Macaca mulatta: one gene and its partners. The protein of the gene in region 2 purifies or fractionates together with the protein of the main gene of each other region. This does not show direct contact. Links are inferred from orthologs where the notes say so. Each region holds a gene or a part of one and is shown on either strand. Other genes may lie near its edges.

Region 1 (2,928 bases), on a different chromosome or scaffold from region 2:
TCTTTTGTTTCTTCCTGGTTAAGCTTTTCAGAAATTTCAAATCCCACAGCCAAGCTTGAACATATCTAGCCCATATCTAAATCAAGAGATTACAGCTATTGTTTGGTTTTAGAAACTTTGGTGCTATCAAGCCTAAGTACATGATTAAATGATATTAAATGCCAAACAATAAAAAATACTTCCCACAGGTGTGTGTGTATATATATATAGAGAGAGAGAGAAAGAGAGAGAGAGAGAGGTATTTTAAAATAATTATACACAACTCTTTTAAAAGATATGGGGAATACTTACGTAATCAACTCTAACTTTAGCCCTTCACAGCTGTATTATAACTTTATTTAACAACTTAGTAAAAGTCAAAATTGATGGTTCTTAACATTGCATGTTGAGAATACAAAGTGCCTAAAAATGACACATTCTGCCCAATGCTAGTTCCTTCAGTATTACCTCCAAACTTCTGTGAAAGACTTGTATTGAAAAGAAAGACTAACTGCAACATGGAAGATGATTTTAAAAAAAGTTCATTTACCAATTTTAACAATCTAGAAAAAAAGAAAGTCTGACTATAATACTTGATGACAGACATCATGTTTAAGTAGAAAACACAAGAATAAAAAAGCAATTATCACAGAAAATATTGCACAACCTCAGTTGTTTCCTCCAAATCTGCTTTATGTAATTGGGTGGATATAAATTAATAAACAGAAATTTAAGCAAGATACATGTAACAATTTAACAGAACCTGATCATCTAATTTCTTCAATTTTTCTCAAATTCATCTTTAAGTCTTTCCATCATGGGGCTCATAAAGAAATTTAAGCAACATATGGATACTACAGTTGAATGTCAAATCTTTACAAAGTACTTATGACATACTACATTCCTCTATAATGCAATTATGCATAACCTTCATGACAGTGTTTTGTATGTAGAAAAGTGTTAGAGTTCAATATTCAACCCAATATAAAATAATAATAAGAAACACTTCTGATGTTAGGTTGAGACCACTTTTCCTTTTGCTAATGAATGATTTTTTTTAGCTGTATGTAATATCACTGAGGTGAACCAATAAGTCACCTTTGAGTACATATGAAAAAATAAACACATGCTAAATGGATAAAACATTACTACTACATCTTTACTAGACCATCTCTACCTCTAACACTTCAGAAGCTTAGAGATTTAAAGTATTCTTACATTAACTGCAAGAAACAAAGGAGAAATTCCTTCTTTTTTGAGATCACAACTATGAAGTCATATGGTTATACAAATTCTGTGTTTGTGTGCAAAACATAAAATACAATTATCTTTATTCTCCCTGCTTAGTTTTGTCAGTCAGCTAGCAGGATGTAATAGATACCTTTCCAAGAAACAGAGACTGAGATGTGTTTTATATAACTTCAATAACCTCAGCACTACAGTAATGAGAGATGCAGTATCCTTTTGCTATGGTTCAAGACAAGAGGGAAGGAGGTCAGAAGAAAGAAAATAAATCAAAATTGTTACAACTGAGTAATTATTTCTCATTAGGTCTCACCAAGGTGCCACCTTCATTTTTACATAAACGTGGTGGCATAATTCAATCTCAATAAATCAGAATTCTTAATATTTAAAATTTAACTTGACTTTCCATTATCACCATATTAACAACCAAAATAATTAGATAAAACACATAGGAAAGGGCAATATTAAACCCCACTTTAATAGAGTTGGTTTCTTGACACATTAACTTATTTTTTATAGAAAAGGGATAGTGCATCTCAGTTTGCTTACAAGCTAGGAGATCACTTTGAATTCTGCATTTCCTAACTGCAAACAGAATATAGCACTTATAACAGGTTATAAATAAACTGGTTTTCAAGCATAGAGCCAGCCCCAACGATAATAATACACTATTTAAAAAGACCTAAGGCAATGAATTCCATTTCCAATGGAAAAAAAGAACTGTGCAAACAAGCTTAAAACTACTTTTTTGTGTGTGCCAGTGTTATAAAATGTAGCTTTTAATAAAACCTTGACCCAAATGTCAGCAACTTCAGAAAAGAATTTGGGTGGGGAAGGGGAAGAGAAGAAAGTTATTTCATTTAGGAAAAATAACTACTATCTTTTTCCTAATCTTCAATACACACAATTTAAACAAATACAGCTGCTGTAACACTTTACACAATTCCTATGTACTGGAGCAATAACAAGATCTAAATACAATTATATTTTTAAACATTGGGTCAAGGCTTTACATAAAAATACCATCCTACTTTTCCCACTAAGTTTCTAAAATATCACGTACTTTTCCCCCAACATCTGCAGCCATCCAGGAATTTTAAGGAAACTTTTGTGCATGATCTTAATTCCTAATCCCTGGCTCTTTGGGCTCAGTGACAAAAGATCAAAACCACCAAAATGGTGGTTCACTTGAAGTCAGATGAGAGACCCTGGCTCAATTAGTCTCATAGGATGAAAGCAGTGCTGCATCAACTGGCTCCATGCAGGAGGGGCACGTGAAGGATCTCATCAACCAGTCATCTATACAGTCCAGGTGATAGATGTGCATGCACGGCAGAAATCGAATTGGGTCCCCATAAACAAAGTCCATCATACAGATCACACACCTGTTGGGAGCAATGGAGAGAAATCAGAAGGCATTTTCGGAAGTGTCCTATTCAGAAAACTGTTTAAATCCCATTAAAGACAGTGTTAATCTGAGTAACACATCAGAATGCTTTGCCTGTCATCTTATCACCAAAGCATGCAAACTGAATTTTTTCCTAATGTTGATCTATACACAATTTCTTATTTAAATCCCCCGAGAATTTGCAGGACTTAGGAGCAATCAACAGAGCAAAGAGAAATGGATTACATATGGATCAAGTTTACTGCTGTGCTTGTAAACAGCTACATACTATAGCAGATACCTTAAGGAGAATGGGA
Region 2 (4,355 bases):
TCCTGGCACTTTGGGAGGTCTAGGTGGGAGGATCACTTGAGCTCATGAATTTGAGATTAGGCTGGGCAACATAGTGAGACCCAGGTCTCTACGAAAACAAAAAATGAAAAACCACAAAATAATAATAGAACAATAAATTCTATACTTCTAAGAACAGATATTGGAGCTCAATCATTTTAACTCAACTGCCAATGAAATTTTATCATCACCCTCCAGGTACCAACACAGGGGCATGTCTGCCTGGCTTTTCACCCTGAAATCTTTAAGCATAATCAACTAGTAGAAGGAATGAAAGTCTAGAAGCAGACAAGGAAAGAAGTTTCCACCAGGAAGCCACTCTGGCAAATGAAGGAGGAAAGGCGGCAAAGACCAGCATCTACAACCCATGCCAACAGTGCAGGATGATGCAAATTTACATGATGTGGGATCTCTCCAGTATGGAACAGTGTAAAAAGCCAGCTCGGATTCACTAGCCCTTAGTAGGGTGTCTGGTCACAATTCCTAATTTCCAAGAAGATGAAGAAGTTTTCAGAGCACAAAGACATTCCCTAGGAAATTTCGCAGTGATTGTTAATTCCATTCCTGCCGCATCCTATTTGCCAGGGCAACTCTCCAGTTAATAAAAATGTTAAACCTATGGAAGAGGGAGGAGAAGAAATCTAGATTTTAGGGTAGCTACTCCTGCGTGGGTCTAGACTCTCTTAACACCATTAATAAGGTGGTCTAAATTCTTGTGGCCCACTCACAGGGGAGAGGTTGGACTAGATGACCCATGGTTTCTCCTGAGGAGTTTTCTGGTGATAGTTTTAGATTAGGATTCTTAATCTGATTGCTGGGAAAGGCATAGTGGGAGTCATTCTCTGGATCAGATGGTGCTCTCTTTTGATGTCAGACGTCCTCTACAGGTGGAATTGGGCAAAACCATAACAGGACAAAAATAACACATACACCTTTCCTTTGTGGCACAGCAAAAGTCTCTCTCACGATATCATCCATCCATCCATCCATCCACCCACCCACCCACCCATCCACCCAACAAGCACTACCTGACCACTACTGAAGGCCAATCACCATGCTTGATGATGGGATTAAAAGTCAAAGATGACCTTATTCCCTTCCTTGAAATCACACTACCAACTTAGTCTGCAGCTAAGGCAACGGAGTTACAGGTACTGCTCAGATCCCACAGCCATTCAGGGGCGAAGTTTTGCCTAGGAGCCAGGTCTTTCAATACCTGCCCCTTGCAATCCCACAACACCAAACCTGTGGCTACAGTGCCTGCCACAATCAGATGGAAAGAGATGGGCAATAGGAAGATTTTAAACAAATGAGGTGTTATCTCTTTTTGCTTGTCTGACCCTTTTTTCTCTTCTGAATCTAAAGATTTTTCACCAAAGATCTAAAATAGTGAGAGCTGTAAACCATATGCAAGACATGCAAATGTCAATATTGGATACCCCAGTGTGATCTCATTGGTAGGTTTAGCCTTGCACAGCCTGTAAAACTGCCTCCTTAGAAATCAAAACCCACTGTCCAAGTTTCCAGTTCTTGGATCTCTCTACACTTAAGATTAAAGAATAAATGTTTCAGATACATTATAAAGTGGCAAACAATGCAATATTACCCTTAACTTTTTTTTTTTCTTAACATTTGTTACCTCTCTGTCTTATTTAAAGGTAATTTCTCAACTTTTGTCACTAGGATTCTACAGAACTTCTCCATTGCTCAAACTCTTCTCCCCCTTGTTTTATTTTTCCACTCTGGGCAGATATTTTTGTCTGCGTTGTGGAAATTGATGAATTATTTATCAACAAATACCTCATCCAAATTTGGGGATGTGCCTATCAAAAATAGTACTAAGAATTGAAAAAAAAAAAAAAATCAAAGCAGCACCTTAAACAATGAGAATGAAGCATTCATTGGCTGCTCAATAATCCAGTACATTAAGGTTGCGGGTCCAGAAGCCCCTTTAATTAACAATGGTTCCACCAAAATGCTGCCCTGAGACACTTGACCAGACTGGCTTTCCAAGGCAAGAAGATCTGAGGCGAGGAGAACTGAAAACAAAGCGGGTTCAAAAAGAGTTAAGCTCCTTCCTTACTTAATGCCACTGCTTTCCTGAGAGGCCAGGTGGCAGGATGTGGGACGACTCCGGCTGACAAAGACAGTCTAACCGTGGGGTAGGGGCTGGAGCAGGCGCCAGCGACCCATGTCTACATGCATACTTCTCTTACACTGCTGCAGCTGGAAAAGCTAGACCCTGCGCCAGGACCCCAGCCCTGTGCACGGACCCCTGAGCGTCTGGGAAGCTGTCTCTGGGACTGAAGCCCCCCACCTCCGCCGGGCTGGCGGCCACTGCGGTACCCTACTCCCCGTCGGGCTGGCCCTGCACAATTTGGGAAAAAGCCGCAGCGCTTCTGCAAGGTCTACGTGGCCAGGAGCATGCAACGCTTGGCTCCCAAAAAGACACGAAAGGAGCAAAGCATCAACGACCACCCGATCAGAGGGCCCGAGGGGCGCCTCTTCACCAGTCAGCTGCAGCTTAAGTTCCGTGCATTATCCGAAAGGAACAGCTGGCTGGAGGTATCCAGGGCTGTCACTCCAACCTCTGAAGCGGTGACCTCAACTCCCAGCACTTCAAAACCCAGACAGAAACAAACGTCCAACAAACTCCCACTCCAGGAGCGCTGCAAAACCAACGCCAGGTAGACGGAGCCAGCCCGGGGGTCGCTGCCCAACATGCATCCGCAGCCCTAGGCTGCGGTGAGCCCGAGGCAGACGGCACTGGGAGGCGCAGTGGTTACCTCTCCGGGCCCCGCGATCCTTTCGCAAAGTCCCAAGTCCGGGTCAAAGCAGGAGCGCCCAGCAGGCGGAGGTCGGGGCCGGGACCGGGCGGAGGCGACGCTCCATGGACGCCCGGGGTCGGGCTCGCTCGCTGGCAGGGTCGGCCGGGGGTGTGATCTCTCTTGGCGGCCGCTATCGCCGCTCCGCCCCCGCGGGCTCCAAGTTCGCTTGGCCCGCCACGAAGACTGCAGACTGCGCAGTCTGCTTTTCCCCGTTTCAGTTGTATGCGGGTCTAGGCCCGGGGATTTCCACGGTACTTTCCAAAGTCACGTGACTCTCTGGGTAGGGCTGCGAATTGCGTCCCGCCGGCCGCCAGAGGGCGCAGGGGGCGAGGGGCTTTCGCGGCCTCCGCGCCCCGACCCGCCCCCTTTCCCTGCCCCGCCCCGCTGCCTCGCCCCGCCCAGTCCCCGCGGGCCCAGGGAGAAACTCCCTCGCCCCGCCCCGGGGTGTCCCCGCGTGAGTCACCTGGGCATTTCGGAAGCTGGGGTCACGTCACATCCATGTGGAAATCGCGGTGATGGGAACTGGAAATGAAATAGGTTCTTTTTCGCAGTTGTTTTTCTGCAGAAAATCATCAACTGTGGAGAAGAAGAAGGGAAATAAGAAAAAAAGAAAACCCTAAAAACCACCCTGGCGTCCGGGCCCGCAGGCCTCGGGCTGGCTCTGAAAAGTTTGGGCTGTGCACGTGATAAGCGCGTAGGCGGGAGCCCCAGACAGGACCCGGGCGGGAATTTCGAGAAAAAGCAGCAGTGACAGCCTTTGGTCCCCATCTCCATTGTTCCTGCCAGCTCTGGACCCCAGGCTGCATGAGACGTAGGTCCCAGGGAACACCCGACCCCGTGGCCCCAATCTTAGGTAAACTTAGGAATCAGAACAACATTCACCCCTATGCCACCCTTGCTCCATTTCCCCTTCTCTATTTCTGCTCACCAAGCATCCAGCTGACATTGCATTCAAGCAGCATTTCAGCTTAGAAATCGCTTCTAGTCCATCACCGTGCTTGCCATGTGTCTCCAAGGCTTTATTAGGTGTGTTTTTAGTTGTCCTGATTATCAGTTCACCCCAGGGTGCTGATGGCTGATAATACTGGCGCTCCCTTCCCCACCCCCATGCGTTGCATAGGGAGAGTGAGTCATGTGGAGATGGGTGCAGTCCCTTGGGCAGTGGGGGTGCAGGTCCTGTGCAGGGAGGAGGCTTAGGGTGCTTTTACTGTCTTACTGCCCTCTAAGCACGGGACCCTTTGGATCATTTACTAGATTGGCTAAACTAGAACCAGTTGGAAATATTCTGTACTGTGGTCCCTTTAATTACATTTAAGAATACTCGTCAGGCCATATATCACAGGTTTTTAATTAGAAAAGTATCCTCCTCTCGCCCGTAAGTACCTGCAGAGATGGGGATGCGAGCTGGGTGGAGGATGGCACTGTTTTGGCAAAAAGAAGTTTAGAGCAGGCCGGGCGCGGTGGCTCACGCCTGTAATCCCAACACTTTGGGAGGCCGAGGCGAGCAGA
Region 3 (3,566 bases), on a different chromosome or scaffold from region 2:
GCTTCCTAATTTGTTGATTGATGATATAATTTACAGCCACTTTACAACAAATTGTGAACAAACAACATTTCTCTAGAGTGAGTTACATATATTAATGATTTTCTATGTTTAAGTTCCTTATATATTACAAAAAGTGTTTACTTCAAAACAAAGCATGAGGGAGGGTCAGGAAGCAGACAGCGAGCAATGGGGACAGGAAATGAATGGGTGAACCACATAGAGACCCAGAAGAGGCAGCTGGAAATAACTTTGCCAGGCAGGACTGGACCATGTATTGCTCACCAGGAGGCCACAGAACTTACTCAGGTAGGTGAAGACAAAAACTGAGGAGCCATATCTCAAGAGGAATTCTACCTTAGGCTACAGACCAAGCAACTGAGTTTGGCATTCTCATATTATTTAAGAACAAAAGCCAGGATCACAGACTGGGGCAATGACTATCAGAATAAATGGTGGAAACGGTCTCACATTGGTTATTTTTGTGAAGAACAATGGCTTCCATGCTTGACCTGGCACCAGCAAGAAAAGCAGGAGAGTGGAAGGATAGGGAGGCGCTGGGAAGTCTGACACCATCTGCAGCAGATCAATCCAGCAAGCAAAGAGGGCCAAGAAATGGGATCACTGGCGACTTGCCAGGAAAAAGAAAGAACTACATGAGAGGACTCCGAACCACCTTGGAGTCATATTGACAAAGGGCTCATGAGGTGATGAGCACTGGAACTGCCATTATAAAGCCAGGGAAACGTGGACCCTTGCAGACAAATGTGGCTTTTACCAGGTACCTCAATCTTTCTCCCCAATCCTTGTCCTCAACTCCGCTTCCTCAAGCAGCTCTCAAAGTGAGAGTCCTGTCTTCCCTGCCTGTGGGTCTGGCCATCATCCCGGTTACCTGGATGAGCATCTTGCGCAGGAAAGGCATGACAAACGCCGGGTTCATGCTACTGAGTCGGCCCACAGTGCAGATGGCCAGCTCCCGGATCTCAAACACCTGGTCATTCAGAGCCACAAACAAGGCCTGCAAGTTCTCCGCCTGGGCCAGGTGTGCATCAAAGCGCTCGTCCAGGGATGCCAAGACACAATAGCGAATGTCAGGGTCTGCAAGAGCAATGGAGCCTTTGAACATTTCTTCATGACCCCATCACTTTAGCCCTTCCCAGCTTCCACCTCCACTGCCATCAGCGTAGTGGGAAGATTCCAGATGCTTTCTCTCATCTAACCTCTGTTACTCTTTTCTCTACTCATAGGAGTAAAGACAAAGAATTAAAGGCAGATTATCTTACACTAAGAGGCTAGAGTAGCTGCGCCTAACACGCCTTGGCAGAGAAATAGCTGAATATCAGCTTGTTGAGGCCGAAGATCTCTAGAGAGGCCTTTCATTACGTAATGAAACTGGCTACTCGCAACTGCCCTAAGCTCCTTAACTCCCCTAGATTGCTTCTGTCTGGGAAGCCTTACCAGGATCTGTTATCCCAACCACGAGCAGTTTGCTAAGCACGTCTGCCACCACTTGCACTGCAGTCTGGCTAACCACATGAGCATGGCCACTGATGAGGTGGATGGAGGGCGTGAGCAGGCGGGAACAGGTACGGGCAGCCTCCATGCGGATCTCCTTGTGCTCACTGTTTAGAAAATGATCCGCACAGTGGCGAACAAATTGGGTCAGAGAGTGGCCTGGATAGAAAGGCAGAGAGAAAACAGAATAAACACTGCTGCTGCAGACAGGTAGGTCTGCAGCTTGCTAGCTGAATTTTCCATTTTGAGGCTACTAATTCTACTTTCAACCAGATATTGATCAATAAGATACTGACTCAGAACTCCTTTTTTTTTTTTTTTTTTTTTTGAGACGGAGTCTCGCTCTGTCACCCAGGCTGGAGTGCAGTGGCACGATCTCCGCTCACTGCAAGCTCCACCTCCCGGGTTCACGCCATTCTCCTGCCTCAGCCTCCCGAGTAGCTGGGATTACAGGCGCCCACCACCATGCCCGGCTAATTTTTTTTTTCTTTTCTTTTTGTATTTTTAGTAGAGACAGGGTTTCACCATGTTAGCCAGGATGATCTCGATCTCCTGACCTCGTGATCCGCCCGCCTCGGCCTCCCAAAGTGCTGGGATTACAGGCGTGAGCCACCGCACCCGGCCTGACCCAGAACTCTTAAAGGGTAACAAGGGGGCTTTCAATCAGCAGAAAGGCAAAAGAGAAATAGAGAAACCACAATAGAGAAACCACAGGTGGCTGTCTCCAGACAGCATGTTCAGGCTTTCTGTACTTGCTTGTTTCTCTACAGTCTTGACCAATACTACCTATATGATCTTAAATTTCAAAAGTATCAACTTCTCCTCCTGAAATATATCTCTGTGGGGTATTATTGTGGGTTTATTTGCAGTTTAGAACTACACAGTACAGTACTTTTAGAAATCATACCGCCAGCCGGGCACAGTGGCTCATGGTTGTAATCCTAGCACTTTGGGAAGCCGAGGCAGGCAGATCGCTTGAGGTCAGGAGTTCCAGAACAGCCTGGCCAACATGGTGAAACTCCATCTCTACCAAAAATACAAAAATTAGCTGGGTATGGTGACACGCACCTACAGTCCCAGCTACTCAGGAGGCTGTGGCTGGAGAATCGCTTGAACTCAGGAGATGGAGGATGCAGTGAGCTGATATTGTGCCACTGCACACCAGCCTAGGCAACAGAGAGACTTTGTCTCAAAAAAAAAAAAAAAAGAGAAAAGACACCATACCACCATAGACATGGAAACACCCAAAAGCCCCTGCTTATACATTTTAAAGCATTACATATCATCTCAGCTACAAGGAGGTGAAAAAGTGGGGACATGAGGGGGATCTGTCTCTGCAGCATTATTTCCTTGGATCAACGTATACTTTCCCTCAAACGATCTGCCCCCAAACTCAGTATGGGACAAAGAAACAAACAGGAATTACCAATATATGGAAAGAGTCTAGGAAGGATGAGCTGCTACAGAATCAGCTACCCTGTCTCTGGGATCACAGCAAGATCCAGGAAGTCTAGATACTTTCATTCCTTTCCCAAAGTTTCCAGCAGCTCTCACTACCTTGCCAAGAGACATTGTAATTTCTTACCTTCAAATTCAAAGCTGCCAAGCGTTCGGAGGGCAAGAGTGATGCTGCCCACATCGCTGGCCTCAGGGAGGGTTGTGAGGCCAGGAGAGGCCAGCTGATGGGCCAGGCCCTTGGGCATGCCTGGGTGGCGGAGTGGTTTGTGCATAAGGACCAGGGACAGCATTTTCAGTAGCCCATCTTGAATGTCCTTCTTTAGCTGTGGAATCTGACGACTCAGGTCGTAGAGCACTGCAGTGAGGGCAGGGCTGAGGGGAAGGAAACAAGCCACATAAGGGCTGGGCACATGACACTCAGTCTGTTCTTGGGAAGAAATAGCTTTCTCTCCTAGCAAGGGGATCAGGCCTCTGTTCTTCAGAGTAGAAAGGATATTATAAAATAAGAATAAAAGTGTAAACTCTCTTGGCTTAGTCTCAGGTATCCAAACAATCTGTGAGTTTCTGGTTCTCACCACAAAAGATTTGCTCACTAT

What was found. Proteins that work in one complex are often made in the same cells at the same time.
Region 1: the proteins of TNFAIP3 (region 2) and RNF11 purify together in Homo sapiens (affinity purification with western blotting; 3 studies listed by BioGRID and IntAct, with this or other methods). This does not show direct contact. The link is inferred for Macaca mulatta from reciprocal best matches to the Homo sapiens genes TNFAIP3 and RNF11.
Region 3: the proteins of TNFAIP3 (region 2) and MTOR purify together in Homo sapiens (affinity purification with western blotting, with the first as the bait; 3 studies listed by BioGRID). This does not show direct contact. The link is inferred for Macaca mulatta from reciprocal best matches to the Homo sapiens genes TNFAIP3 and MTOR.

Annotation. Positions count from the first base shown.
Region 1 is NC_133406.1:189,391,232-189,394,159, forward strand, and holds the end of RNF11 (RING finger protein 11), read right to left. Parts: intron 2,610-2,928; coding exon 2,438-2,609; 3' UTR 513-2,437; downstream 1-512. UniProt on the Homo sapiens protein: Essential component of a ubiquitin-editing protein complex, comprising also TNFAIP3, ITCH and TAX1BP1, that ensures the transient nature of inflammatory signaling pathways. Promotes the association of TNFAIP3 to RIPK1 after TNF stimulation.
Region 2 is NC_133409.1:42,959,773-42,964,127, reverse strand, and holds the start of TNFAIP3 (tumor necrosis factor alpha-induced protein 3), read right to left. Parts: upstream 2,858-4,355; 5' UTR 2,805-2,857; exon of another isoform or gene 1,945-2,804; coding exon of another isoform or gene 1,894-1,944; intron 973-1,893; exon of another isoform or gene 747-972; intron 1-746. UniProt on the Homo sapiens protein: Ubiquitin-editing enzyme that contains both ubiquitin ligase and deubiquitinase activities.
Region 3 is NC_133406.1:229,491,483-229,495,048, reverse strand, and holds part of MTOR (serine/threonine-protein kinase mTOR), read right to left. Parts: intron 3,343-3,566; coding exon 3,098-3,342; intron 1,672-3,097; coding exon 1,456-1,671; intron 1,096-1,455; coding exon 890-1,095; intron 1-889. UniProt on the Homo sapiens protein: Serine/threonine protein kinase which is a central regulator of cellular metabolism, growth and survival in response to hormones, growth factors, nutrients, energy and stress signals.